Pelodiscus sinensis: one gene and its partners. The protein of the gene in region 1 interacts with the protein of each later gene in a biochemical or structural test. Links are inferred from orthologs where the notes say so. Each region holds a gene or a part of one and is shown in the gene's direction. Other genes may lie near its edges. The genes, in order: MAP3K5, CIB1, thioredoxin and MAP2K4.

What was found.
Region 2: the proteins of MAP3K5 (region 1) and CIB1 form a complex in vitro, tested with the Homo sapiens proteins (2 studies listed by BioGRID and IntAct). The link is inferred for Pelodiscus sinensis from reciprocal best matches to the Homo sapiens genes MAP3K5 and CIB1.
Region 3: the proteins of MAP3K5 (region 1) and thioredoxin form a complex in vitro, tested with the Homo sapiens proteins (3 studies listed by BioGRID). The link is inferred for Pelodiscus sinensis from reciprocal best matches to the Homo sapiens genes MAP3K5 and TXN.
Region 4: of the proteins of MAP3K5 (region 1) and MAP2K4, one has a biochemical effect on the other in vitro, tested with the Homo sapiens proteins (3 studies listed by BioGRID). The link is inferred for Pelodiscus sinensis from reciprocal best matches to the Homo sapiens genes MAP3K5 and MAP2K4.

The regions. Positions count from the first base shown.
Region 1 is NC_134713.1:97,632,530-97,639,624, reverse strand, and holds the start of MAP3K5 (mitogen-activated protein kinase kinase kinase 5), read left to right. Parts: upstream 1-4,082; 5' UTR 4,083-4,632; coding exon 4,633-5,044; intron 5,045-7,095. UniProt on the Homo sapiens protein: Serine/threonine kinase which acts as an essential component of the MAP kinase signal transduction pathway. Plays an important role in the cascades of cellular responses evoked by changes in the environment.
Region 2 is NW_027466005.1:108,298-115,833, forward strand, and holds the start of CIB1 (calcium and integrin-binding protein 1), read left to right. Parts: upstream 1-4,530; 5' UTR 4,531-4,673; coding exon 4,674-4,724; intron 4,725-5,676; coding exon 5,677-5,711; intron 5,712-6,729; coding exon 6,730-6,832; intron 6,833-7,536. Other genes in the region: GDPGP1 (GDP-D-glucose phosphorylase 1), read right to left, coding at 1,711-2,919. UniProt on the Homo sapiens protein: Calcium-binding protein that plays a role in the regulation of numerous cellular processes, such as cell differentiation, cell division, cell proliferation, cell migration, thrombosis, angiogenesis, cardiac hypertrophy and apoptosis.
Region 3 is NC_134716.1:10,346,822-10,354,157, reverse strand, and holds the start of thioredoxin, read left to right. Parts: upstream 1-4,327; 5' UTR 4,328-4,439; coding exon 4,440-4,463; intron 4,464-7,336. UniProt on the Homo sapiens protein: Participates in various redox reactions through the reversible oxidation of its active center dithiol to a disulfide and catalyzes dithiol-disulfide exchange reactions.
Region 4 is NC_134730.1:262,749-269,884, forward strand, and holds the start of MAP2K4 (dual specificity mitogen-activated protein kinase kinase 4), read left to right. Parts: upstream 1-4,117; 5' UTR 4,118-4,280; coding exon 4,281-4,362; intron 4,363-7,136. UniProt on the Homo sapiens protein: Dual specificity protein kinase which acts as an essential component of the MAP kinase signal transduction pathway. Essential component of the stress-activated protein kinase/c-Jun N-terminal kinase (SAP/JNK) signaling pathway.

The DNA.
Region 1 (7,095 bases):
CTCATAGAAAGAGGTTTACCACTGTCAGAAAAACTCCTGCGTTCTTTTGACTTTCTCTTGAAAGAACACAATTGCAGTGTGGACATAAGTGTAGTCAAAACGGCTGGCTGTTCCATGTGCCTCTCTGTGCCATGCATTGGGGAGGGAAGAGACTTTGCACACTGTCCCCACTCCCAGCACAATCATCTCAGCTTCCATTGCCCCCTCTCCTTGCACTTTGAAACGAAACATATTACTCAATATCAAACCAAGTAAAGCAAAAAGTACTTTTCAACAGAAAGAGGAGATATAAAACTAGTAAAAAACACTCCCGCTTTCCTCTTCCCAATCTGTGAAAAGATGTGTATATCAAGAACTGGTTCCTTAGCTATCTAAAAGTCAACAAAAGCTTTTGCTTAACTTCAGGAAGCACAGCCACTAACAAGCATGTTTTATATAGAAATACCTAAAACAGATTCAGCAGTATTTCAACAATGAAAACAAGTAAACCAACCAACCAAAAACAAAACAACCAAAAAAGCCCAAAACAAAAAACACCCTAATGAGAAATTACCAGAAGGTGGCAGGCATGTTCCATCTAGAAATTAAGGTTCCAATTTCCCGGGACAAACTCCCAAGCAACATTGAAAGATTTGCTCAGGATCACAAAGTAGCTTGATGATGCCCCATGCTATTTACCACAACCCCACAGGTTCATTGCCCAACTATGTAGCATTTAGCCCTTAGAAAAATGGCTAGCTGCCAGGTTTATTGCAAGAAAAGCAGGTAGGAATCTCTAATCCAAAGAGATAACTTCCAGCAGCAAGGGAAGTGAAATACTTTGAACTACAGTCTCTGCTGTGATCTGATAGTGTTTTTTTGATCAGAACTGATGTGAGTTGGCTGGCAGCATATGTCAAGTGGGATTAGAGAGGAAGGTGAGGTTAGACTCCTGGATTCAATTCCTGGCTCTATATTTCATCACAGACTTCCCCTGTGATTTTTGAACAAATCAGTTAATCTCCCTGGGCCTAGATTCTCCATCTGTAAAATGGGGAGAATAGTAAAGCTGGGTTCAGTAACTTTCCATGTGATCAGCAGATCTCTTTCAGGGATTTTCCTTTAGCTCAGTGTCACATTATTGGGTTTTAATGTGAGTAGGCAGACAGTTACTGTACACACTGGTGTGTGTTTGCCCCAAATTGGGTACAAAGTGGGCCATGTGAGATGTCAAAGGAAAGCTTATGCTATGCAGGTTCTGTTTAAGCTACTCATGTACTTGTACAACCTGTGTGTGTGTGTGAAGGTATGAATATTAGCTTTAACCAGCCAGCCAAACCGGGTCTTCAGCTATTTTGTGCTGACAGAGATTGCTGCTAAATCTGTCCCCAAACATTTATAATGCATTCACTGTCTTTCTAACACACCAGATAGTTTTCAAAACTGTTAATGTTTAAAAACTCTGTTTCATACTTGTGTTGTCTGCTCTTTGTATGTATCCCTTCCTGGAGGGTGAGTGTGGATTAGTCAGTTTCAGACTCTGTTTCTGGTCAGTTTCATGTCTTGTTGTCCATGGACTAGAAATTCAGCAGTGTTGAAGGCTGCAGGCAAGGCTCAGGGTATATCTACACTACAGAGTTTTTTCGTAAAAACGGTAGTTTTTCTGAAAAAAAAACCCCTTCACTTATGTCCACACTGCAATCAAATTCTTTTGAAAAAAAATTGAAAAAACAGAGGGATTTTTTGACATCGGTACACCTCTTTCTACTCCCCAGCTGACCCCAGTCTCCACTGCCCATTTGAAAGGCACAGAGGTGGTGTTTCAAAGGGGCAGCTGCGTCTCAGCTGAGCTGGGAATCAGCTGTGCGGTGGCTGCCCCTTAGAAATGCCACCTCCATGTGTTTCAAAGGTGCAGTGGAGCCGGGGGTCAGCTGGGAACTCCCCAGCTGATCTCGGCTCCGCAGGGCATTTCCCCTGAGCCCAGGATCAGCTGACCAGGTTCTTCCCAGATGACCCCGGAGCCTGGGGAAATGCTGTGTGGAGCCCGGGATTCGTCTCTGTGCACATTTCAAAGGGGCAGCCTTGGGGTCTGGGGTCAGCTGGGGATTCTTCAGCTGATCTTGGGCTCTGTGCAGAATTTCCCCAGACCCCGGGTTCTGCTGCCGCGGGGAGCCCAGGATAAGCTGGGAGCCCCCAGCTGACCCCAGATTCTGCTGCCACACAGAGCCCAGAATCAGCTGGGCAGTCCCCAGCTGGCCCCGGGCTCCATGACTGCCCCTTTGAAATGCCACATTGGGGTTTCAAAGCGGCAGCGCCGCACAGCTACGTGGTGCTGCCACTTTGAAGAACCCCCTCCCCTCTATCTTATGGAGGCATCAAAGGGGGGAAATTGACTTGCTTATCGGATAGTCGACTAGTCTTTAACGTCCCTACCGGAGATCAGCTGCGCACTCCAGCTGATCCTGGGCTCCGCCTTGAGCTGCCCCTTGGAAACGCTGCCCCGACGCTTCAAAGGGGAAGTGCTGCATAGAGCCCAGGGTCAGCTGGGGACTCTAGCTGATCCTCCATGCAGTGCTGCCCTGTTGAAATGCCGCAGCGGCGTTTCAAAGAGGAGGCACATACGATTAATCGTGATTTTTACATATATACACTTGTATGGACAGTGAAAAACTGCTACAAGTGAAAAGTATTATTGGCACTTGCATGTTAGTTGTTGACTTTTTGCTGTGCATTCAGTGTGAACAAGGAAAGAAGATTAATTAGTTTAACTTTCTGATATAGTCAGGTTCTCTTACACTGGATTCTCTCTATGCTTCAAAGTTTACAGACTAGAAAGATGGAGGGAAATGCATACCTTCAGATAAAAATGCACTTCTCTAAGGTGTCTTCTTTGATTTAAACTGTATTTCTATTAGCTTATTGTAGAACTTTTTTAACCACTAAACTTGTGAGACCTAGCTGTCTGCCTCTTTAAGCAAGTCTCAAAAAAATTACTATATTTTTAAGCTTGTTTTCATGATTCAGTTAGAGAGAATTTACAAGAAAAGGATTAAGGTGAATACAAAGGTATATATGGAGGGGAGGGAAATGTCTGTCTTGGGAGACAGCGTGAGTCAACAGAGTTTCTGAGGTGTCAGCTAGTTCCTTAGCTTTTTCAAAGCTGAAAGGAATAGTAGTTCCAGATGATACACACAGCACGGGATATTTGGAAACCTCTTTGCTTGTAAGGGTCAATATTCAAGCAGTAAATGTTGATTTTACTGTTCACAAACACACCCTGAAAAAAATTGTCATCCATTCTGACAAAATTTACAGCTAGATAACATAAGAAAAATATTGCTTGAGAATGTTACTTTGTATATTGTGATATGTGAGTTTGACAATATGGGTTTTCATGATTATAAGTTTTCACTTTTTGAATGTCATCATATACTATACTATATATATTTTTGTTAGACTCTAAGGCTATGTGTACACTGCCGGGTACTTGTGCAAGAACGGCCATTCTTGTGCAGAGAGTCCACACTGCCTGCCCGCTCTTGCGCAAGAAGATTTACAGTGAAGCTTGGGAGGAGAGGGCTTCTTGCACAAGAGCTATGCTCTTTTCTAACAAATGTAAGCCCTCTTGTGCAAGAGCTTTTGCGCCAGAGGGCAGTATGGATGCACGGCCGGGGTTTCTTGCGCAAAAAAACCCTATGGCTAAAATGGCCATCAGAGCTTTCTTGCGGAAGAGAGCATCCACACTGCCATGGACACTCTTGCGCAAAAAGCATATGGCAGTGTGGACGTGTTCTTGCACAAGAGTTCTTGCCAAGAACCTGCCAGTGTAGGTATAAGGTGCTGCAGGATCATTCGTTGTTTTTTAATCATTTTCTAGTATTAAATAATTATTGGCTGACCTCCCTCCCATACATTTCCTAAAATTTACATTGATAAATATAAAACTAACCATTGATAGCGTCCACTGCATTTGATTTTTTGTTAATACTCGCATTGAGACGCTAAGATCTCTTGAGGAGCCACCCCCACGCAGCTAACCTAACGGAGCCGCCTACAAGAGAGCAGCAGAGGGCGCCGTGCAGGGAAAAAGCGAATCAACAGCTGGTAGGAGCCATAGAGGGAGCCAGCGTCGCGCACCAAGCCTGAGCGAAAGTTTGGCGCGGCCAGAGCCGCCGCGAGCGCAGGAATGCAGCCAGGCCCAGGGGCGGGACTAAGGGAGGAGCCGGGCGGCTACTGGCAGGGCTGCTGCTCTGTGGGTGCAGCCATCCAAGCTGGATGAAGCGGCGAGGCTGAGGAGCGGCGATCCCACAAGTGGTTTGGCGGCTGGTCGGAGCGGCGGGAGGCAGGCGAAGGAAGAGCGAGTGCGAGGGGCTGCGGGAAGAGGCTGTGCCCTGCAGCGCGCTCGCCAGGTGGCCGCTGCCCCGCAGGTGAAGCCAGCCCCGCGCGATGGTGCCCTTGGCGGGCGCCCCAGGAGACTGCGCTGCCCTCCCGGCTCGGCTCGAGCTCGGCAGCCGCTGAGTGGGGGTCGCTTGCTGCCTGTAGGAGCCGGCGGCGGGCAGGGACGGGGCAGGGCGAGCGCGGCGGGCGGCGCGGCATGGCAGCGCCGTAGCCCCGGCGGCACCAGCAGAGCCCAGGGCACGGCGCCCCGCAGGGATGAGCGACAGCAGCGAGGGCATCAGCTTCTCGGTGCCCAGCCCGCCGGGCAGCGCCTGCCCCCACGAAGACGGGCTCAGCCGGAGAGCGGCGCCGGGGGCAGACGGGGGCGCCCGGAGCCTCCTGTCCGCGCCGCCAGCCGGCACCTACTGGAACGAGGACAGCGGCGCTGCTTGCCCTGCGGGGACAGGGACAGGAGGCCGGGTTAAGGGCGGCAGCACCCGGAGGACCACGGTGTCCTACGTGATCAACGAGGAGAGCCAGGGGCTGCTGCTGGTGGCGGCGGCGGAGAGCGGGGCCCTGCAGAGCCTGCGGGAGGCGTGCGAGGCTGTCGGGGCCTCCCTGGAGACCGTGCACTTCGCTGAGCTGGACTTCGGAGAGACCACGGTGCTGGACCGCTTCTACAACGCAGGTGAGCGACCCCACAGCCTCTCGCTCGGCTTCCTTCCCCTGCCTGGCTCCTTGCCTCCCACCCAGGGGCGCTCTTCACAACAGCTGGGCAGTGGCGGTGGGGGTTGTCACCCTAGGATCTGTTTTGCTGGGTGTGACATTCTGGGGTGCAATCTGTCATCCCTGCCCAAGGGTAGACGGAAGCTAATCTATATAGTCCATAGAGACACAGGTTTGTTCCTGCTGCTGTAGTGTGTCAGTTACTTCCTCTTTTGTTCATATGTCAGTGGCACTTTGTTGGGATGACATGCTGTGCAAAGGTTACTACTCATGTAAGCAAAAGACAAGCAGCTTCCCCTGGACTCCCTTTCCCTTGATAGAGGTAGGCATATCTCTCTCAGATTAGGGTTACACACTGTGCTTGAGGTTCCATTTTTCTGGACCATCCATCATTACCAGAAAATGGAACCTCAAACACAGGGTCAGGCCCACTTTTTCCTCTCAGATGTTTTCTGTGATTCTTGACACTTTGAAGAAATAGGTTTCTTGCACTTCTTGGTAGTTGGGACATTGGGGTAGAAGGTGTGTATCTGTCTCAGTCTCTGCCATACAGTGTTAGTTGCGCCTCTCATTTTAGCGCTTGTCTCCCAATTTTCTCAGTCCTCATTGATTCTGTATTAGGTGAGTCTCTCTCTTAATTTTGCAGATTCCACTGAGGTGGAGTCAACAGGGCTCTGGATGTGACTAAGGATGGGAGTACATCTGCCTGATATAACTACATGATGAGGGCCTAACATAAAATTTAGAATGCTACAAGTCTTTTCTAGTTGTTGTTGTTCTTTTATTGAGCTGTAAAATGGCAGTATAGTTTAAAACAGATTCTTAGACACTCTTGTGGTTTGTCCCATGTCTTGACAAAGAGGCTATTTCTTGGACTACAGCCCCTTCCATTGGTATTTAGGTAATATCCCTCAGACAACTACATTGTTTACATGGAAAAAAGGAGCAGCTAAAATACATTAGTTTCCTTTAATGTTATTTGGGGGGAAAGAAGGAACTAATTCTAAAAGGAACTAATTCTAGCTCTGCCCGCACCACCAGGTAGCACTTTTTGGAGCTCTGGTTGTCTTGCTACAGAGCTCAGTTTGGGAACCACCATTTTCAAATATACATATACAGGCAGTCCCCAGGTTACATGGATCCGACTTACATCGTATCCCTACTTACAAACGGGGTGAGGCAACCCCGCACTAGCTGCTTCCCCCCAGCAGACCACGGAGACGCGGAGCGGCTTTTCTCAGCAGACACCTCAGCTTGAGAATAAAGGACTGAGGGAAGTGAGGTATGGGAGAATAAAACTGAGCTCTGGAGAAATGTTTGGCTAGAGTTTCCCCTACAATATGTACCAGTTCCGACTTACATACAAATTCAACTTAAGAACAAACCTCCAGTCCCTATCTTGTACGTAACCCGGGGACTGCCTGTAGTGTTTTTTTTCCCCTCTCTCACTGTACTGAGCTCTTGCAGTTCCCATTTACTTCCGCTTGATTTCAGCACTTTTGAAAATAAAGTCCAATGTGAATATTTCAACATCTTCTTTATGTGGACCCAAAACTTGGGATAGTCTTCATATGTTTGGAAGAGACTGTGTCATATATCAATTGGATAAACTATTTAAGACAGCTGGGATTAAACAGAACTATGTATACGGAGTGTAACAGTTGCCAAGAAAGTCTCTGAATTCTGTCCTCTATCCTGATTTACATAGTTTCAAGTTTGCTACTGGGACCATGTTTGACTTGCTGGCAGTGTATTCACTAAGTTACTTGGCTGCAGTCAGTCTGGCAAGGCCACAGAGCCTGAGAGCTTCATGTTATCAAATAGGTAAGGTAAATGGGAGGGGCGTTGGGGAAGGGAAATAGCAATGGCCTATCAGATTTGTAAAGACTTTATAGAACCAGAATGATCATATTAAATGCTCTTTACAAAAGGAGAGAGAGAATTTGGAGCTAAGTTTTGACCAGATCTGTATGTGTTTGGAACACATTAGTTAAAATGTTTAAAATAACTTTT
Region 2 (7,536 bases), on another chromosome or scaffold:
CTATGTAACAGAAAGGTAGATATATTGGCTTTGAATTGTTTTGCATTTGAAGATCCGCTTACGCTGTCTTCCCTTGCAATATTGCTCGAATGAACTGCCTCTGGCTACTTGTTGCTTAAACACAACGCAGAGTGAAGGCTCGTTATCTTGCACACTGGCATTTGATGGCCTAGATCAAATTACTGGATGTGCAGTTAAATGAGCCTTTGATTTGGTAGCTTATGTTGTTGGCTCCAGGGACGAATTCGCTTGTATAGATACGTGGGCAGAGCTGGCACCACTGATTGCCGGGCCGGGTTCCTGGATGCTTATGATGTAGCTGTGTAGCATGGTGACTGGAAAGAATTCGTTTCAGGTTGGGGGGTTGTCTGTAAGCGAGAATGGGCTTTCCCTCAAGGCCTCAGAGTGAGAGGTCATTTTCCAAGATGGGTTGTAGCTTGCAGATAAGAAGTTGGAGGGGTTTGAGTTGTGGACTGCAAGTAATGACAAGTGCAATTCTGTTATTTTCTCTTTTGGGCCTGTCTTGAAGTAGTTCATCTCTGGGTACTTTTTTGGCTCTGTCAGTTTGTTTTTTCACTTCTCCAGGTGAGTATTTCAGTTTTAGGAATGCCTTATATAAATCCTGTAGGTGTTTGTCTCCGTCTGTGGGATTGGAGCAAATCCAGTTGTATCTTAGGGCTTGATAGATTGAGAAATGTGTCTGGGATAGAAGCTAGAGGTATGAAGGTAAGTGTAGTGGTTGGTGGGTTTCCAGTATAGGGTGGTGGAAATTTGTCCATTATTTAATTGTACTGTAGTATCCACGAAGTGGATTTGTCACATGGACTGGTCCAGGTGAAGGTTGATGGTGGGGTGGAAGTTGTTGAAATCCTTGTGAAATTCTTCAAGAGTCTTCTTTCTGTGGGTCCATATGATGAAGATGTCATCGAAGTAGCATAAATAAAATAGGAGCGTTAGGGGGTGAAAGCTGAGGAGACATTGTTCAAGATCAGTTTGTGGTGCCATGCGGGCACCCATGGCTGTGCCGCTGACTTGGGAGATACAAATGGTCTCCAAATTGGAAGTAGTGGGGGGCGAGGACAAAGTCGCAGAGCTCTGTAATCAGGTGTGCAGTGCTGTCATTGGGGATGGTGTTTCTGATGGCCTGTTATCTGTCTTCATGTGGAATGTTGGTGTAAAGGGCTTCTCCGTCCATAGTGGCCGGGATGGGATTTTCAGGTAGATTACTGATGTTTTGAAGTTTACCCTGACTGGTAAATGCCGGCAGCTGCTCTGGGGAAGAGAAAGGAGCCACTGGGATACGGGCACATTTCTGACCGAACCGGCCCTTTACTATGTGCTATGGGAAAGAGAGTAGATGCTGCAGCATCCAAAGGGGGTTTATTGGCTGTGTTCACCAGAAACAAGCCAATAGTTCAGTCACTACCGAGGTCAGAATTGTGGGGTTACCCCCCAGTTCTATCTCCCACTCCCATAGGGCAAGGACAACACTTCCTTCCTCTCTGGCCCAGAGTGGCACAGCAGGCCAGTGTCCAGAGGAGCCAGTTGGCAGTGCCTGCGGGGGCAGTGGTATAAAACAACAAGGCAGCCTCCATACTGGACCCAGAGCCAGAGCCCCACAGTGAACCATTCTGCAGCGATTCCAAAACACACGAGAGTCAGACTGGCCACAAGGAAGTGTGAGGCACGTGCAACGCAGAGCCCACGGGGTTACTGTGTGAGAAGTGCCACCAGCTGGCTACAGAGCTGAGCCAGCTGCGCCTCGGGGAGGAGGTGTCTCTGGATGGTGTGAATAGCTGTTGTCTCTGTGAGGCTCTCGAAGTCTTGGGCAGTTTTGACAGGCAGGTGCCCAGCCAGCTCACAAAGTGCCACGTTAAATGCAGTTTCCTCTTTGCTCCCAAAGCAGGAGCTCCTGGCCCAGATGACCACCCGGATCCCAGACCGAGCCTGGGAATGGGCTGGCTCCCCAGGAGCAGTTCCCCGGGTCACAAACACATTGTGTGCAATCTCCTTCTCCACCAGGTAATCAGTGACGCGGCAGATGGTGTGCGCCAGGGCTGCTAGCCCCTCTCCCTCGCTGTAGAACAGGAACCCTGGGGCCGGGACCCCCCGCAGGAAGTGGAAGTTGAGCGTGGGGCACAGGGCTTCGCCTGGGGCCGTCTCAATCAGGAGCTGCCAATCCAGGTAAAACCCATGCAGGTGCAAGTGGTTGACTGAGGCGAAGGCTCCCAGGCTGTTAAAGCCAACCCGGAAGCCTGGGTGTGCACTGAGAAGAACCGACTCCAGTCCGAACTGGAGCAGCTCCTGGGTGAGGATCTGAGGCAGGCAGAGAGCAGGGTCTGGAACAAAGAGCACGTGTCCAAACTCCAGAGGGCTGACGTTAATCACCACTAGGACGTGGGCAAGTGTCCTTGGGAGTTCACGCTCCCGCAGGCCCCCTCGGCCCTGAGAGGGCCCCTTGGTGGGAGGGTGGAGCGTAGGGCCCCTGGCCATATGGAAGAGGATTTCCCCTGGGTTGATCTTATTGAAATGGAATTGCTGGGGGTCAAATGTCTGCCTTATGCTCTGGATGGCCTGTGGTCGCCTCCTCTCCAGCCCCCTCTGGATGTTCAGCTGGGCCACAAACTGGACCTTCCCAGGCAAGACGCGGGTCTGTAGCTCGCCCAGGCGATACCGGAAGAGCCCCAGCCTCATCCTCTCCTCCCAGCCAGCCTGCAAAGCTCTGTCAAAGCGAGACAAGGGGTGGCGTGCTGGCCCCTCCGACCTGCTTCTCCACCACCCAACCCCACACAGCACATAATCTTCTTCACCATACACAAAGTCTTCCTGGCAGGACACAGGGCGGCTGCCTGGCTGCTCCGGGGATGGCAGCCCCGCTGGGTTGCGGAGGGCTGGGCTGGCACCCAGGGGCGCTGCCATGGCAGATGAGCAGCAGCTCTTAGGGCTCCGCTGCAGGCAGCATCCCCAGCGGATCTGGAACACACAAAGCAACCGCTGGGCATGAGGGGCCGTGGGCAGAACTCAGGGAGGAAGCAAGAGCCCCGCCCGCCCTGCCCCGCCCCGCCATGGGGCCACGACCCCGCCCCTCCCCGCCATGGGGCCACGAGCCCGCCCCTCCCCTCCCCCCATGGGGCCACGAGCCCGCCCCTCCCCTCCCCCCATGGGGCCACGAGCCCGCCCCTCCCCTCCCCCCATGGGGCCACGAGCCCGCCCCGCCCCGCCATGGGGCCACGAGCCCGCCCCGCCCCGCCATGGGGCCACGAGCCCGCCCCGCCCCGCCCCGCCATGCCATGAGGCCACGAGCCCGCCCCTCCCCTCCCCGCCATGGGGCTACGAGCCCGCCCTGCCATGGGGCCACGAGCCCGCCCCTCCCCTCCCCGCCCCGCCCCGCCATGGGGCCACGAGCCCGCCCCGCCCCTCCCCCCCATGGGGCCACGAGCCCGAAGCAGCTGCTCCCTCCGTCCCAGGTCTCCCAGCGGAGGGGGGGGCGCTGAGCGAGGAGCCGCCGGCCCCGCCCCCACTCACCCGCCGGCCCCGCTCCCCTCAGGCGCGCGGCTCCCGGCATGCTCCGCGCCGAGAGGCGGGGACACATCGCGACCTGCCACGCGAATGGGCGGAGGGGAAAGGTCACAGCTCCCGGCATGCCCCGCGCTCGGGGGGGGGGCGGGTCGATGCTCCCGGCATGCCCCGCGCTGGGGGGGGGGGGGGTCGAAGCTCCCGGCATGCCCCGCGCTCGGGGGGGCGGGTCGAAGCTCCCGGCATGCCCCGCGCTGGGGGGGAGGGGGGGGGGGTTCGAAGCTCCCGGCATGCCCCGCGCTCGGGGGGGCGGGTCGAAGCTCCCGGCATGCCCCGCGCTGGGGGGGGGGGGGGGGGTCGAAGCTCCCGGCATGCCCCGCGCTCGGGGGGGCGGGTCGAAGCTCCCGGCATGCCCCGCGCTGGGGGGGGGGGGGGGGGGGGGTCGAAGCTCCCGGCATGCCCCGCGCTCGGGGGGGCGGGTCGAAGCTCCCGGCATGCCCCGCGCTGGGGGGGAGGGGGGGGGGTTCGAAGCTCCCGGCATGCCCCGCGCTCGGGGGGGCGGGTCGAAGCTCCCGGCATGCCCCGCGCTGGGGGGGGGGGGGGGGGTCGAAGCTCCCGGCATGCCCCGCGCTCGGGGGGGCGGGTCGAAGCTCCCGGCATGCCCCGCGCTGGGGGGGGGGGGGGGGGGGTCGAAGCTCCCGGCATGCCCCGCGCTCGGGGGGGCGGGTCGAAGCTCCCGGCATGCCCCGCGCTGGGGGGGGGGGGGGGGGTCGAAGCTCCCGGCATGCCCCGCGCTCGGGGGGGCGGGTCGAAGCTCCCGGCATGCCCCGCGCTGGGGGGGAGGGGGGGGGGGTTCGAAGCTCCCGGCATGCCCCGCGCTCGGGGGGGCGGGTCGAAGCTCCCGGCATGCCCCGCGCTGGGGGGGGGGGGGGGGGGTCGAAGCTCCCGGCATGCCCCGCGCTCGGGGGGGCGGGTCGAAGCTCCCGGCATGCCCCGCGCTGGGGGGGGGGGGGGGTCGAAGCTCCCGGCATGCCCCGCGCCGGGCACTTGGCGGAGGCGGCCCTTTAAGCCGTGGGCGTTGCTGGGGCGTCTCCTGGAGACGGTGACGTAGGACCCCGCTCGCGCGGACTCCGGCCGGGGAAGCAGCGCGGGGCGGCATGGGGGGCTCGGCCAGTCAGCTCCCGCGGGACCTGCTCGGCGAGTACCAGGTACCCCCCCCCGGGGCCCCTCCCCCCGCCGCCACCCGCCGCCACCAGCCCCCCCCGAGCGCCCCCCCCGGGGCCCCTCCCCCCGCCGCCACCCGCCGCCACCGGCCCCCCCCGAGCGCCCCCCCGGGGCCCCTCCCCCCGCCGCCACCGGCCCCCCCCGAGCGCCCCCCCGGGGCCCCTCCCCCCGCCGCCACCGACCCCCCCCGAGCGCCCCCCCGGGGCCCCTCCCCCCGCCGCCACCGACCCCCCCCGAGCGCCCCCCCGGGGCCCCTCCCCCCGCCGCCACCGGACCCCCCCGGGGCCCCTCCCCCCGCCGAGCCCCTCCCCCCGCCGCCACCGGCCCCCCCCGAGCGCCCCCCCGGGGCCCCTCCCCCCGCCGCCACCGGCCCCCCCCGAGCGCCCCCCCGGGGCCCCTCCCCCCGCCGCCACCGACCCCCCCCGAGCGGCCCCCCGGGGCCCCTCCCCCGAGCACCCCCCCGGGGCCCCTCCCCCCGCCGAGCCCCTCCCCCCGCCAACACCGGCCCCCCCCGGGGCCCCTCCCCCCGCCGCCACCGGACCCCCCCCGAGCGCCCCCCCGGGGCCCCTCCCCCCGCCGCCACCGGACCCCCCCCGAGCGCCCCCCCCCGCCGCCACCGGACCCCCCGAGCGCCCCCCCGGGGCCCCTCCCCCCGCCGCCACCGGCCCCCCCCGAGCGCCCCCCCGGGGCCCCTCCCCCCGCCGCCACCGGACCCCCCCCGAGCGCCCCCCCCGCCGCCACCGGCCCCCCCCGAGCGCCCCCCCGGGGCCCCTCCCCCCGCCGCCACCGGACCCCCCCCGAGCGCCCCCCCCGCCGCCACCGGACCCCCCGAGCGCCCCCCCGGGGCCCCTCCCCCCGCTGCCCCCAGCCCCCCCGGTCCCCGCCCCCGGCCATGCCCCGCCCTACCTGCGCTGGGTAACGTTCCTCTCTTTCCAGGAGCTGACCTTCCTGACCAAGCAGGAGATCTTGCTGTGAGCGCCCGGCTGGTCCCCTCGCCCCTTGCCGGGCGCAGGAGCGAGAGGAGGGTTGCAGGGAGAAGGGGCCAGGGCCTGCCTGGAGCGCACCCAGCAGAGGGCTCAGAGCCACTGGGCCATAGGGTGGAGCCCAAGCTAGACGCCCTGCCTGGCTCCAGTGGGAGGGGTAGCTGGGGGAGGCAGCACTCCTAGCATGGCGGTGGCTGCTCCTGGAAAGCCCCAGATATGACACGGGCCCCCGAGGCAGGGCCCCCTTCCCCCGCACTGGTCCCCTTTGCTCTGAGTTGTGAGTGGTGGCAGCTGCCGCAGCGCGCACTGGCAGGGGTGCAGGCAGAGGTGGCAGCGCGGCCTAGGGGGCATGCATCCTAGCGGGGGGAGGGGAGTGCGGTGCAGCAGTGTGCAGTGACCAGGTAGTTCCTTCTGCCCTGAGCTTCTTCCTGCTCTTGCTCCCCGCCCTGCTGCACTCCCTGGCACAGGGCCTTTGAGCCTGGCTCTGTGCTGGACTCTGCTCCAGGGTGTGACGGCTTCTTGGTGTTTCCCTTGATGGGCTGCTTGAGGTGAAGCTGCTGGCACAAGCCCAGCCTGCCTGAGAGCGAGTCACGCACTGGCCAGGCACCGGCAGCTGGTCCTGTGCAGGGGCCTGTGGGGAAGTCCCTGCAGCGGTTGCTCTGGGAGCCTTCCTGGCAGCCACCTAGCACCGTAACCTCTGCAACTGGAGGTGCGGGGGGGCTACAGCAGGCTGGTGCCTAGTGCCACACTGAGCGGCCAGAAGGTGGGAGCTGGGTCTAGGGGCCAGCTGTGGCTGTAGCTTGCAGAGAAGGGGGCTGGCTGGCTGGGGAATGACTCTTCCTTCTCCCTTGCCCCTTGTTTGCGTCCATGTCTTTCTGCTCAAGCCTGGGAGTGTGCTCGGGGCATGCAGAATGGGTCCCCTGGGGGAGTGGCCCAGCTGAGCCCAGTAGCCAGGCCCAGGCCGGCAGCAACTCTGCCAGGCTCTAATTCGTCCTGTCTCCCAAAGCGCCCTCAAGAGATTCAGCGAGCTGCTGCCCAAGGAGGAGAGGGAGGACATCCTGCAGACAAGAGTCCCCGCGAGCAAGATGCTCACACTGCCTGAGCTGAGGGTATGGTGCACGCCCCCTGCTGCTTGGCCCCCTCTGCCCTAGGAGGAACCAGGTCAGCCCCACTCATCGGGGCAAAGACTCGGGTCCTGCCTGGGGCAGCTCCTTATCTGCTGCCCTTCATGCTGGGGGTGCTCGGCCTGGGCGGTTCAGTCACGGTGCGCTTGCTGTGCTGCGAGAGGGCCGTCCGCCTGGTGCCTTTCTCTCTGTGCCGTGCGGGCACTGCCGGCCTCGGGGCGCAGGGGCTGCCCACGGCCAGTGGAGCTGCACGTGATGTTGAGGGTCTCTGCACAGCAGGAGACTTTAAGGGTATGTCTAGACTACGTGCCTCTGCCGGCAGAGGCATGTAAATTAGACATACCGACATAGTCAATGAAGTGGGCCCCGGGGGGCAGCAGTCAAGACGGGGATTGGTCGGCAAGGAAAGCTTTTGCCGACCGATCCCTTATGCCTCGTGCAACGAGGTTTCCGGGATCGGTCGGCGAAGGCTTTCCTCCGATCCCCGTCTTGCCTGCCGCTTTGTGCCGACAAATAGCTGAGCCGGCACGATGCAGTGGCCATTTTTATTCTAATGAAGCGGGGGATATTTAAATCCCCACTTCATTGACTATGTCGGTATGTCTCATTTCCAAGCCTCTGCCAGCAGAGGCACGTAGTCTAGACATACCCTGAGGCTGGAAGGGATCATGGTGATTCTCTGCTTGGCC
Region 3 (7,336 bases), on another chromosome or scaffold:
CCTCTTAGCTCCACCAGAGGTTTGATCCTACTCTCACTGAAGTCAATGGCATACCTTCCATTGGTTTTAATGGTGCAGGATTAACCCCCAAGTTCCCATAGGTAAGTATAATTATTCCCACTTTATAGATGAGAGAATTAAAAGCGACAAAGGTAAGAGCCAACATTTTCTAAGTTGGGTGTCTTGTAGTGAGGCAGTGTAATACAGCCGGTCCTCGAGTTGCGAACGGTCAAGTTATGACCATACGCATTTATGACTGAAGTGGTCGTAAATGCGGTCCCCGAGTTACGAACGCAATCCATGCTTACGAACAGCGCAGTTGCCATGTAACTCAATGGGCTCCGAGTTAAGAACACTTCGAGTTATGGCCAAGTGTTTGGTCCGTAACTCATTCATAACTCGGGGAGAGGCTGTGTAACTGTCCTGATTTTGCTAAGCAATGGCAATTTCCCAGTGAAGTCCCTGGGAACTGCTTGCACGCCTCCTCACCTGGAAAGCAGATAGGGTTGCCAAATGGTTTCAACAAACATACCGGAAACACTTGACATTACATCACAATCTACATTACAGCTTATTTAGAAAACACCGGATAGTTATATTTTCTCATTTATATTTTCTCCATTGGTTTCCTGAACAGAAAGCTCAAATACTGGACTGTCCGGTTCAAAACTGGACACCTGGCAACCCTAAAAGCAGACCTCTTTCAGTTAGGTGCCTAAATATGGAATTAAGTGCCTAGTTTTAGGCATCTACCTGTTAAATAGGTTTCATAAATGTATCTACCTTTAAAAGGTCTTGTGGGGATTTGATAATATTTACAAAAACAATCTGAAGATTAAATTCATTCTGGGCTAAACCCTGATGTCCTTATTCCATTTTTACTCTGTGCTTACTGCAGCAAAATTCCCAGTGACTTTATAAGTACTAGGTTACTATAATTGTGGAGCAATACACAGGCTTTTTTAAAAAGTCCAAGTACTTCTTAGTTATCTTCAGTTTCAGAGGTTACTCAGCATCAGTCTCTGATTTGCTAGCAGTTTGGCCATGAGACCCGGTAAACTATCATGCAGCAAGGTGGAAAGAGGCCTTATGCTACTTTTGTACTTCTTTGTATTTTGGGACTAGATAGGGCCCTGCTATTTCTCAGTATAAATCAGAGTAGCCTCATAGCCACTGTAATTTACAGTCAGTTGTCCATGGAGCACAAGGGTATATTCTGGCAGTTGAGAGTAGCAGATCACAGCAGTGGTTCTTTCCTGGCCATGCTTCTAGCATTCCTGTACCTCAAGCTTTAAGAAGGGGTACGTAGCTCCATTATGCCAGTTAAGCACCACCCAGATAATTCTCTTACACAATTACCCACTCTCTGAAGCCTCTAGTTTTATGACCCTATATGCTGCCAAAGTGACGAAAGTGGCCTCAGGTATCTATATATGGTATGTATGAGAGAGACATTTATCCTCTTCACAAAAGGAGAGGAATAAGCAAAAGGTCAAAAAGTACACTGTAAAGACTGCACATCATCTCCCAGGCAGGATAAATCATCTGAGAGCTTACCACATGGTGAAAATCCTTTAAAGACACAAGGAAATGAAATAATAAACACATCTTTTGCCGGAAAGACTGTAACTAACTAGCACAATATCTGTGAATCCAGTTGATAAAGAACCAGGGATTTTCCCTAATGCTTGGTGAAAGGGGATATCTGCTTATGCGGAAACAGAGATAAAGCGTTTATTAGATGTTTAAAATATTTTATCTTTAGTCAAACATTTACCTATTTAACAATTTAACATCTTTTATTCCCTTTGGCTTAGTCTCCACCAAATTCTAAAACATGTAAGACATATATATTTTATAGAGTACAAAATATTCATGTGATTGACCTCAGTGCAAAGGACCTAAAAATCTATTCATCTCAATAATCCAGCCACAATTATAGGGGCACCAATAATCATGTTCTTTGGAATCAAAAGATAATTATGGAGTCACTTTTTACAATCACTCAACTAAATTCATCCCAGGATTTTAAGGCACGCAACGAACACCAAAACATATTAAATGAGCCCCCAAATACATCCCCTCTTAAAAAAAACCACACACACACACAGAATATACAAAAAACAAAAATATACTTTTAAAAGTTCCACACAGTTTAAAGAATTCTAATGAAATTGTCCATTTTAAATATGCAAAATATTTCTGAACCTAGTGGAACTTTAAGGGTGTTCACTGTATCATTATTATTATAAATATACAATCAGGACTAGTTTAATTTAAGCAATACAAGTGACTACTTGAGATTTCATAATTGTAGGAAGTCTGTGGTCTAACACTGACTTGGGAACTCAGTAACCTTCCTGACTGCACCTTCTGAAAGCAAAAGAAGAGAAAACTTCATGGCAACTTGTGAACTCTCAAAAAATCATAAATCATATAGAGTTGACTGAAACTACTTAAATAATGCACACTGGCTGGAGTTTTTCCAGTAATATAAATTGTAAATAATGATATTTCACAAGCAGCAAAATCAGCAATGAACCACTGTGGGCAAGGAATGACGGAGGGAGGAGAGAAAGCATCTGAGTTCTGGGTGGTGCCTAAGCATGTGAAATACTTCCTGGTAATCATTACACAGCAGATATTTCCAAAGTCACTGAGCTTTTAGCAAGAACTGAGAGCCATAAGCTATGTAAGAAAATGTAGGCCCGCCCTTAGCATGTGGCTGTGATTAATGCATTTCTCACTATTTGATCAAAAGTTTCTTTAATGCCAAAAATTCCTCTACCTACCACTCTCTTTTTCTCCCATGTCACACTAAAGAGGCCCCATTTAATTCCAGAGAAACAAAAATACATGCTAAATAGGATGTATTTCCATCCATGTAATCATTTTTTATTTTCCGTAATTAAAAAAAAGAAAAATATCCTTTATTTCTTAACATCTGTTTTCAATTTTCCTGGAAGAAAAAATGCTTTCACATTTCTTATGCTATTATGCTAAGCATCTTTGGCCAAACTTTAGGGATCTTTTTTGCTTGTTTACTTTTCCAAGTAGGCACCAAAACACATTACCACAGTTTCTAATTTGTGTATTTTTAATTTGTGTGTTTTGTATTCCTTTGATGCTTTTTATCAGTCGGTGCTGGTGTATTGGCTTTTCATATATAGAGAGATTAATCAAAACTGCTTGCCTCAGAAAATTTCAAATTTTGGTTGAAAAATGTATCCTTACACCAAAATACTGCAATTGAAAACAATAATTGTTCAGTATTTGAACTCCCACCAAAAAAATGAAATTTTCAGTGAAATCCTCACTCCACCTTTTTTTAGCACATTTTGTGGATTTGGAGGTTTTCAATTAACAGACCATGAATTGGTTTTCAATACATCACACACTTTTATTGTTTCTTCGGCTACGTCTAAACTGGCATGATTTTCCATAAATGCTTTTATCGGAAAAGTTTTCCGTTAAAAGCATTTGTGGAAAAGAGCGTCTAGATTGGCACGGATGCTTTTCCTCAAAAGCACTTTTTGCGGAAAAGCGCCTGTGCCAATCTAGACATGCTCTTCCGCAAAAAAGCCCCGATCGCCATTTTTGCGATCAGGGATTTTTTTGTGCAAAACAAATCTGAGCTGTCTACACTGGCCCTTTTACGCAAAAGCTTTGCGCAAAAGGGACTTTTGCTGGAACGGGAGCAGCATAGTATTTCCGTAAGAAACACTAATTTCAGACAGTAGGAAGTCAGTGTTCTTACAGAAATTCAAGCAGCCAGTGTAGACAGCTGGCAAGTTTTTCTGCAAAAGCAGTTGCTTTTGTGGAAAAACTTGCCAATCTAGACACAGCCTTCAAGTATTAAACGCTTGTGCTGGGCCCTGATGTGCTGTGTTCCCGTCACAAGAGGGGTGGCTAGGGCAAATCTGAGCTACTGGCTCGCTCCCAGCCCCTGGCAATTTTCTTGGAAGAGCGGGGGGGGGGGGGGGTGTCACTTGCAGATTAGCCCACCCCCCCCCAAAAAAACCCGTCTGCAGCCCCGCCCAGCGCAGGGATTGGGCTGCATCAGCGCTGCCCTGTGTCCCTCCCAGGCAGGGGCAGGCGGCGTCTCCCTCCCTCGAGACCACGGGGGAGAGATCTGCTGGGGGGGGGGGGGATTTCTCAGGGTGTCCCTCCCCCAGTCTCGCCGCCTAGCGAAGCGAGGGGGCAGCACACGCGCCGAGGGGAGCGGGCGGGAGCGCGCACTGGCCCCCATGAGCGATGAGCGCGCATCCTCCTCTTCTGGGAAGGGAAGGGAAGGGAAGGGGGCGGGCGAATCGCGCGTGCGCACTAAGGCCAAGGGGGGCTGGCTGCTATATAAGCGCGAGGGTGGCACCCAGCCCGCCACAAGCACTAGCCGGAACAGCCGAGTTGTGTGTGTGACGAGCGCGGGCAGGGCGGCAACGATGGTGAAGCGCGTGGCGAACCTGGTGCGTAGCCAATGGCGCCGGCGCGGGCGCCGCGCTCTCCCCGCTGCCTACGGGCTGGGGCGGGTTCGGTTGGGCGGCGGTTGGAACTGCGGCAGCCCGTTGGCTCGCGGGAGCGCGCGCGGCCCCGTCGCGAGGCGGTGCTCTCGGGTCTGAGAGGCCCTGGGGATGGGCCTTGCCCAGTGCACGGCTGGGGGGGCTGCGCCGGGCCTGTGCGGGGAAGGGGGCGCGCTCCGCTCGCCACTGCCCCTATCTCCACACACACCTGCTGGGTGTGGCCCTGCGGCCGCTGCCACGGAGCGATGAGCCCGCGCTGGGCCTTGGGTGCGAGTCCGCCGCGCGTGTGCTACGGCCCCGGCTTGGAGTCCACCTGTCAGCGTCACACCTGCGCCTTTCCCTGGGCCCCGCGCGGCACGTGGAGGGGCCCCACGTAGCTGCCTGGGGGGGGGGTCTCGATTCAAACGGTGCACAGCACCATTGCTTCCCCTCCCCCCCCAGCCCTCAGGGCATTGCATGGGCTAGAGGGGCGCTCAGCTGTGGGGACACGAGCAAGGCTCTTCCCATGCGAATTCTGCGCTTGGGGCGCAAGCTGTAGTAGCGACAGCGAGGGTGGGAGCCGTCTGTGGTCTGCAGCAGTTTAATTAGAAAGCTGAAGCGAAAACTGATAGGCTGTGTTGACACTGGGCCACTTATTTCGGAAAATCAGCCGCTTTTCTGGAATAAGCTGCGAGCTGTCTACACTGGCTCTTGAATTTCTGGAAAAGCAACGATGCTCTACTGTACAAAATCAGCCGCTATTCCGGGAAAAACTATTCTGCTCCCACTCGGGCATAAGTCCTTATTCTGGAACACTGTTCCGGAAAAGGGCCAGTATAGACAGCCCAGTAGTCTTTCCTGGAAAAAAGCCCCGATCGTGAAAATGGTGATCGGGGCTCTTTTCCAGGAAAGCGCGTCTACATTGGCTACAGACGCTTTTCCGGAAAAAGGGCATTTCCAGAAAAGCAGCCTGCCAATATAGACGCTCCTTTACTGGAAAACTGAAAACGGAATAGTATTCCGTTTTAAGCAGTTCCGGAAATTCATGCCAGTGTAGACACAGCCATAGTGTAAGCTCTGCCTGATGTCGAAATATAGCTTCTTACCTGCCACTAACAACAAGAGCATTTTCAAGTGAAAGCACAAATTTGTTTACACTGTGCAGATGATTCATTGATACTGGTTACATGTCATCTCCATTAGATTTGCTGCTAGTGTGATAGTGTAATGATTACAAGAAGCATGCAGATTCCCTTCTTTGGGGAGGGCCTCAGGTCTAGGATTCTTGCTGTTCATCTGTGCTAGTAGCTTTGCTCAATAGCCTGGAAACTAACATAAGAATGGCCATACTGGGTCAGACCAATGTCCATGCAGCTTAGTATCCTGTCTTCTGATAGCGGCCAATGACAGATACTCCAGAAGGAATGAACGAACAGGTAATCAAGTGATCCATGCCCTGTCCCCCATTTCCAGCTTCTGACATACAGAGCCTACTGGCAACATTCCTGCCCATCCTGGCTAATAAGACTTGATGGACCTAACCTCCGTGAATGTATCTAGTCCTTTCTTGGACTCTGTTAAAGTCCTGGGCTTCTCAACATCCTCTGACAAGGCGTTCCACAAGTTGATTGTGTTGTGTGAAGAAAAACTTCCTTTTATTTGTTTTAAATCTACTATTTTATTTGACACCTAGTTATGTTATGGGAAAAAGTAAAATAACTTTCCCTTAATCTTTCCCCATAGCTGTCATGAGTTTATAGACCTCTGTCATATCCCCCACCTTGTGACTTTTCAGCTTAGAAAAGAGGAGACTAGTCTTTTTAATCTTTCTTCATATGGCACCTGTTGTGTCTGTGTGTGTGTCTCTGTCTCTCTCTCTCTCTCTCTCTCTCTCTCTCTCTCTCTCTCAAAATTAAATAATTACAAACTCCCAAAGTTTCTTAGCCAAGACTTTCAGAAGGGTGACAGGCAATCTAGGCTAGCGAGTGGGCTGCATGGATAGCCCTTCATTTCGGCTGTAAGAGTTTCATATCTAAGACAATCATATTTTCTTCCACTATTTGATCTGAGGAAGTGGGTCTGGCACACGAAAGCTCATCACCTAATAAACCATTTTGTTAGTCTTTAAAGTGCTACATAGTCCTGCATTTTGTTTCAGTTACACCAGACTAACAAGGCTACATTTCTATCACTATCCTGGGAGAGGGTCTTTTTTCCAACTGCACTTAGCTTAGAATTTGTGAGGTGTGACAACTGAATAGTAGCAGAGCTTTCATTGGATGCAGAGGAAGCCCATGGCTCTGAGTCCATGTTGTGTGATCAGCACACACTGCTAATATCAGTAGGAAAAACTGAGCAGAAACTAGTATAATCTGGCAGCCCCACCCCAGGAAACAATGTCTTGTGGGCCACACACCGAACCCTAGTGGCCTCAGAGTCCCCAGGCTCCACACAGTGCTGCCACTTTGAAGCTTCCCCTCTTCTCCCCCCCATCCTCTGTTGCCTTTTTCTGATAGAGGCAGCAAATGGGGGGGGGGGGGGTAATAGTTGTTCATAGCCCTAGTTTATACCTCCTAGATGGATTGCTGCCTATCAATCCACCTTTTAGTGAAGATATGTAGTCCCTTTCCAGAGTTGTGAAAAGGGAGGTGCATGCCTTCAGGATAGCACAGCTCAATACTGAGTGGAGCCCAGAGTACAGGCATTGTGGGATACTGGTGGGAGCCAGTTCTGCAGTTTGTTCCATTGACATTCTGTTCATTTTTTGTCCACAATAAAGGGCTGGGAAAAGTCTCAAATGAAAGCTTTTTATCATCAAAACTGGGCATTTTTCACAACAA
Region 4 (7,136 bases), on another chromosome or scaffold:
ATTGCGGAGAAACTAAATGATTTCTTTGCTTCAGTCTTCACGGATGAGGATGTTAGGGAGATTCCCAAATCTGTACCGTCCTTTGTGAGTGATGAATCTGAGGAACTGTCTCAGATTGAAGTGTCATTAGAGAAGGTTTTGGAAGAAATAGAAAAACTTAATGTTAACAAATCTCCGGGACCAGATGGCATTCATCCAAGGGTTCTAAAAGAACTCAAAAGGGAAATTGCTGAACTATTATCTGTGGTTTGTAACCTATCCTTTAAATCGGCTTCTGTACCTAAGGACTGGAAGGTAGCCAATGTGACACCAATATTCAAAAAGGGCTCTAGAGGCGATCCTGGCAATTACAGACCGGTAAATCTAACTTCAGTACCGGGCAAATTAGTCGAAAGAATAGTAAAGAATAAAATTGTGAGGCATGTAGAAGAACATAATTTGTTGGACAAAAGTCAGCATGGTTTCTGTAAAGGGAAATCATGTCTTACTAATCTATTAGAGTTCTTTGAAGGGGTTAAAAACATGCAGACAAGGGGGATCCAGTAGATACAGTATACTTAGATTTTCAGAAAGCCTTTGACAAGGTCCCTCACCAAAGGCTCTTGTGTAAATTACATGGCCATGGGATAAGAGGGAAGGTCCTTTCTTGGATTGAGAACCGGTTAAAAGACAGGAAACAAAGTGTAGGAATAAATGGTAAATTTTCAGAATGGAGAGGGGTAACCAGTGGTGTCCCCCAAGGGTCAGTCCTGGGACCAATCCTTTTCAACTTATTCATAAATGATCTGGAGAAAGGGGTAAGCAGTGAGGTGGTAAAGTTTGGGGATGATACCAAACTGTTTAGGATAGTCAAGACAGAAGCAGACTGTGAGGGACTGTAAATAGATTTCACCAAACTGAGTGATTGGGCAACAAAATGGCAAATGAAATTTAATGTGAGTAAGTGTAAAGTAATGCACATTGGGAAAAATAACCCCAACTATACGAACAGTATGATGGGGGCTAATTTGGCTATGACAAATCAGGAAAGAGATCCTGGAGTTATCGTGGATAGTTCCCTGAAAACTTCCACACAGGCTACGTCTACACTGGCCCCTTTTCCGGAAGGGGCATGTAAATTTCACTAGTCGTCGTAGGGAAATCCGCGGGGGATTTAAATATCCCCCGCGGCATTTAAATAAGAAGTAAGAATAAGAGCCTCCGGAAAAGGGCACTTTTTCCGGAGGATCGGGGCCAGTCTAGACGCTCTTTTCCGGCTTTTTTAAAAGCCGGAAAAAAGCGGCGGACATTTTTATTTAAATGCCGCGGGGGATATTTAAATCCCCCGCGGATTTCCCTACGACGACTGCTGAAATTTACATGCCCCTTCCGGAAAAGGGGCCAGTGTAGACGTAGCCCCAGTGTGCAGCGGTGATCAAAAAGGCAAATAGGATGCTAGGAATTATTAAGAAAGGGATAGAAAATAAGACATAGAATATCTTACTGCCCCTGTATAAAACTATGGTATGCCCACATCTTGAATACTGTGTACAGATGTGGTCTCCTCACCTCAAAAAAGATATTTTGGCCTGGAAAGGATTCAGAAAAAGGCAACTAAAATGATTAGGGGTTTAGAACGGGTCCCATATGAGGAGAGGTTAAAGCGACTGGGACTTTTCAGTTTAGAAAAGAGGAGACTGAGGGGGGATAGAGGTATATAAAATCATGAGTGGTGTGGAGAGGGCGGATAAAGAAAAGTTATTTATTAGTTCCCTAAATAGAAGAACTAGAGGATACCAAATGAAATTAATGTGTAGCAGGTTTAAAACTAATAAAAGAAAGTTCTTCTTCACACAGCGGGTAGTCAACCTGTGGAACTCCTTGCCAGAGGAGGCTGTGAAGGCTAGAACTATAACAGAGTTTAAAGGGAAGCTAGATGATTTCATGGAGGTTAGGTCCATAAAAGGCTATTAGCCAGGGGATAGAAATGGTGTCCCTGGCCTCTGTTTGTCAGGCTACTGGGCTAGATGGACCTTTGGTCTGACCCAGTACGGCTGTTCTTATGTAGGACAATGGCATATTAGGGTGCATATAAGAGCACTGCCTGCAGATCTAGAGAAGATCTAGATCTATTATTCCCCTGTATTTGACACTGGTGAGGCCACATCTGGAGTATTGCGTCCAGTTCCGGGGCCCCCACTATAGAAAGGATGTGGACGCATTGGAGAGGTCCAGCGGAGGGCAACCAAAATGATTAGGGGGCTGGAGCCCATGACCTATGAGGAAAGGCTGAGAAATTTGGGCTTATTTAATCTGCAGAAGAGAAAAGTGAGGGAGGATTTAATAGCAGCCTTCAATTACCTGAAGGGAGATTCCAAAGAGGATGGAGAGAGGCTGTTCTCAGTAGTGACAGATGGCAGAAGGAGGAGCACTGGTCTCAAGTTACAGTGGGAGAGGTCTAGGTTGGATATTAGGAAAAACTATTTCACTAGGAGGGTGGTGAAGCACTGGAATGGGTTTCCTAAGGGAATCTCCACTCCTAGAGGTGTTTAAGTTCTGGCTTGACAAAGCCCTGGCTGGGATGATTTAGTTGGAGTTGGTCCTGCTTTGGGCACGGGGTTAGACTTGACCTCCTGAGGTCTCTTCAGCTATGTCTACACTCACAGCTTCTTGTGTGAGAAATATGCAAATGAAGCTAAAAATGGAATATCGCCAAGAGACTCTTGCGCCAGAAGGAGCTGTCTACACTGCCCCTTCTTGTGCAACAAAATTCCTCTTGTGCAATGCTGCTACTCTGATTATTTTCAGGGGATATGCCATGCTTAGCCTCATTTGCATATTTCTCGCCCGCGAGTGTAGACATAGCCTTCCAGCCCTAGGATTCTATAACTCTATACCTAGGACTTACATCAGTAGATACCAAAATGCTTTGCAAAGGGGGATAGTATAGTTGCACTTTTATAAATGGGGGACAGAAATACAGAGAAATGGATGGAAAAGAGCTGGAACTAAAACATTCTCCTGAGTCCTAGTCCAATGCTTTAGTTACTAGGCCACACTGCAGGAGCATAGCTATGCATGGGCTGGGGCTCACCCCTGCAGTCCTGACTCTTCTCCGTCTGCCCACCTGGCACTCCAGGCATTCCGAAGATTCCTGCACCCAGATCCCACTCACTGGTTGGAGCACTGGGTGGGTGAGCGGAGCAGGGGAAGCCCTCATGCCCTGAGCCTACTCCCCAGGGTTGGCCCAGAACTAATGGATATTAGTAGACTGGATCTTATGGAAGGCCAGATAGAAAGGGATACTGAAAAGGATATAACAGCAAAGGAATTCAGATATGTGTTTCTGATAAGAAAACTGAGTGGCCATTTTGATGAGGAATGGCTGAATAGTGGTAGAGGTAGCAGGAGAAGGGCAGGAAAGGGGTATGAGGGCAGGGCTAAAGGGACAGGCCGGAGGCAGAAGCAGACCAGGGAAGAGAAGAGGTAGGGGAGCAGGCTGGAAGCAACAGCAGAAGAGCAGGGAAAGGGCATGGGAGCAGGCTAGAGAGCACTAGGGCAGCAATATGGGGGAGGCCAGAGGCAGCAGCAGGGTAGGGGTATGAGGGAGGCAGGAGATGAGTAGGGTTATGGGGGAGGCCAGAGGCAGGATTTGGGCAGGCATAGGAGGGCAGGGATATAGGGAGGCCAGAGGCCGGAGCCGGGCAGGGGTTCAGGGCAGGTAGGCGAGGGTAGGAAGGCAGAAGGGCAGGGGAGTCAGGAAGGCCAGAGGCAGGAGTGCGCGGGAGGCTGGAGCAGGGTAGGGGCACGAAGGCAGCCGGGCAGAGAGGCAGGAGCGGGACCGGAGGCAGCGGCGGGGCAGGGAGGCAGCCGGGCTCGGCTCGAGGGAGGTTGGGGGCAGCGGCGGGCGGCGGGGCAGGGCCGGGGCAGCGGCGGGCGGCGGGGCAGGGCCGGGGCAGCGGCGGGCGGCGGGGAGGGAGCGGGGCAGGGCCGGGGGCAGCGGCGGGCGGCGGGGAGGGAGCGGGGCAGGGCCGGGGCAGCGGCGGGCGGCGGGCGGCGGGGCAGGGCCGGGGCAGAGCCGGCGGGGCAGGGTCCCGGCGCGGCGCGGGGAGGGGTCAGGCGGACCCGGCGGGGCAGGAGCGGGGCAGGGTCCCGGCGCGGCGCGGCGCGGGGAGGGGTCAGGCGAGCCCGGCGGGGACGGCCTGGGCCGGGCGCGGCGCCTGCGATACGGAGTCGGGGCTCTAGGTGTCCTGCCTGGGAGGGTCCCTGCTGCATTGCGGGCGGGCGCGGCGCGGCGCACAATGGCGGCTCCCAGCCCCAGCGGCGGCTCCGGCTCCGGCGCCCCGGGCTCGCAGGCGCACACGGCGCTCAGCAGCATGCAGGGTGAGCGGCCCCGCCAGGCCCCGGCCCCGCGGCCTCCGCCTGCGCCTAGGCCCGGCCGGGCCCTCGAGCCGCCCCGGCCCGCGCGCCGGGACCGCCGGCTGCCGCCTCAGGGCGCGGGGCCACGGGCCTGACGGGGCCGGCCTGGGCCTGGCGAGCGGAGGGGCAGGCGGGGGGGAGCGCGCGGGGAGGGGGCGAGCGGGTGTGGGGGGGGGCAGTGTGCCCACAGGCTGTGTGTGTGTGTGTGGGGGGGGCAGTGTGCCCACAGGCTGTGTGTGGGGGGGGGGCAGTGTGCCCACAGGCTGTGTGTGTGTGTGTGGGGGGGGCAGTGTGCCCACAGGCTGTGTGTGTGTGTGGGGGGGCAGTGTGCCCACAGGCTGTGTGTGTGTGGGGGGGGCAGTGTGCCCACAGGCTGTGTGTGTGTGGGGGGGGCAGTGTGCCCACAGGCTGTGTGTGTGGGGGGGGGCAGTGTGCCCACAGGCTGTGTGTGTGTGGGGGGCAGTGTGCCCACAGGCTGTGTGTGTGTGGGGGGGCAGTGTGCCCACAGGCTGTGTGTGTGGGGGGGGCAGTGTGCCCACAGGCTGTGTGTGTGTGGGGGGGGCAGTGTGCCCACAGGCTGTGTGTGTGTGGGGGGGGGGCAGTGTGCCCACAGGCTGTGTGTGGGGGGGGGCAGTGTGCCCACAGGCTGTGTGTGGTGGGGGGGGGCAGTGTGCCCACAGGCTGTGTGTGTGTGTGGGGGGGGCAGTGTGCCCACAGGCTGTGTGTGTGTGGGGGGGGGGCAGTGTGCCCACAGGCTGTGTGTGTGTGTGGGGGGGGGCAGTGTGCCCACAGGCTGTGTGTGTGTGTGGGGGGGGCAGTGTGCCCACAGGCTGTGTGTGTGTGGGGGGGGGCAGTGTGCCCACAGGCTGTGTGTGTGTGGGGGGGGGCAGTGTGCCCACAGGCTGTGTGTGTGTGGGGGGGGGCAGTGTGCCCACAGGCTGTGTGTGTGGGGGGGGGCAGTGTGCCCACAGGCTGTGTGTGTGTGGGGGGGGGCAGTGTGCCCACAGGCTGTGTGTGTGGGGGGGGCAGTGTGCCCACAGGCTGTGTGTGTGTGGGGGGGGGCAGTGTGCCCACAGGCTGTGTGTGTGTGGGGGGGGCAGTGTGCCCACAGGCTGTGTGTGTGTGGGGGGGGCAGTGTGCCCACAGGCTGTGTGTGTGTGGGGGGGGGCAGTGTGCCCACAGGCTGTGTGTGTGTGGGGGGGGGGCAGTGTGCCCACAGGCTGTGTGTGTGTGGGGGGGGGCAGTGTGCCCACAGGCTGTGTGTGTGTGTGGGGGGGGGCAGTGTGCCCACAGGCTGTGTGTGTGTGTGGGGGGGGCAGTGTGCCCACAGGCTGTGTGTGTGTGGGGGGGGGCAGTGTGCCCACAGGCTGTGTGTGTGTGTGGGGGGGGGCAGTGTGCCCACAGGCTGTGTGTGTGGGTAGTGTGGCCCACAGGCTGTGTGTGGGGGGGGGCGGGCGGGTGGGCAGTGTGCCCACAGGCTGTGTGTGTGTGGGGGGGGGCAGTGTGCCACAGGCTGTGTGTGTGTGGGGGGGCAGTGTGCCCACAGGCTGTGTGTGTGTGGGGGGGGCGTGTGCCCACAGGCTGTGTGTGGGGGGCATGTGCCCAGCTGTGTTGGGGGGGGGCAGTGTGCCCACAGGCTGTGTGTGTGTGTGTGTGGGGGGGCAGTGTGCCCACAGGCTGTGTGTGTGTGTGTGGGGGGGGGCAGTGTGCCCACAGGCTGTGTGTGTGTGTGTGGGGGGGGCAGTGTGCCCACAGGCTGTGTGTGTGTGTGTGGGGGGGGCAGTGTGCCCACAGGCTGTGTGTGTGTGTGTGGGGGGGGCAGTGTGCCCACAGGCTGTGTGTGTGTGTGGGGGGGGCAGTGTGCCCACAGGCTGTGTGTGTGTGGGGGGGGGCAGTGTGCCCACAGGCTGTGTGTGTGTGTGGGGGGGGCAGTGTGCCCACAGGCTGTGTGTGTGTGTGGGGGGGGCAGTGTGCCCACAGGCTGTGTGTGTGGGGGGGGGGCAGTGTGCCCACAGGCTGTGTGTGTGGGGGGGGGGCAGTGTGCCCACAGGCTGTGTGTGTGTGGGGGGGGGCAGTGTGCCCACAGGCTGTGTGTGGGGGGGGGGCAGTGTGCCCACAGGCTGTGTGTGTGTGGGGGGGGGCAGTGTGCCCACAGGCTGTGTGTGTGTGTGGGGGGGGGCAGTGTGCCCACAGGCTGTGTGTGTGTGTGGGGGGGGCAGTGTGCCCACAGGCTGTGTGTGTGTGGGTGGGGGCAGTGTGCCCACAGGCTGTGTGTGTGTGGGGGGGGGGCAGTGTGCCCACAGGCTGTGTGTGTGGGGGGGGGGCAGTGTGCCCACAGGCTGTGTGTGTGGGGGGGGGGGCAGTGTGCCCACAGGCTGTGTGTGTGTGGGGGGGGGCAGTGTGCCCACAGGCTGTGTGTGTGTGTGGGGGGGGCAGTGTGCCCACAGGCTGTGTGTGTGTGTGGGGGGGGGCAGTGTGCCCACAGGCTGTGTGTGTGTGTGTGGGGGGGGCAGTGTGCCCACAGGCTGTGTGTGTGTGGGGGGGCAGTGTGCCCACAGGCTGTGTGTGTGTGGGGGGGCAGTGTGCCCACAGGCTGTGTGTGTGTGGGGGGGGGCAGTGTGCCCACAGGCTGTGTGTGTGTGGGGGGGGGCAGTGTGCCCACAGGCTGTGTGTGTGTGTGGGGGGGGCAGTGTGCCCACAGGCTGTGTGTGTGTGTGGGGGGGGCAGTGTGCCCACAG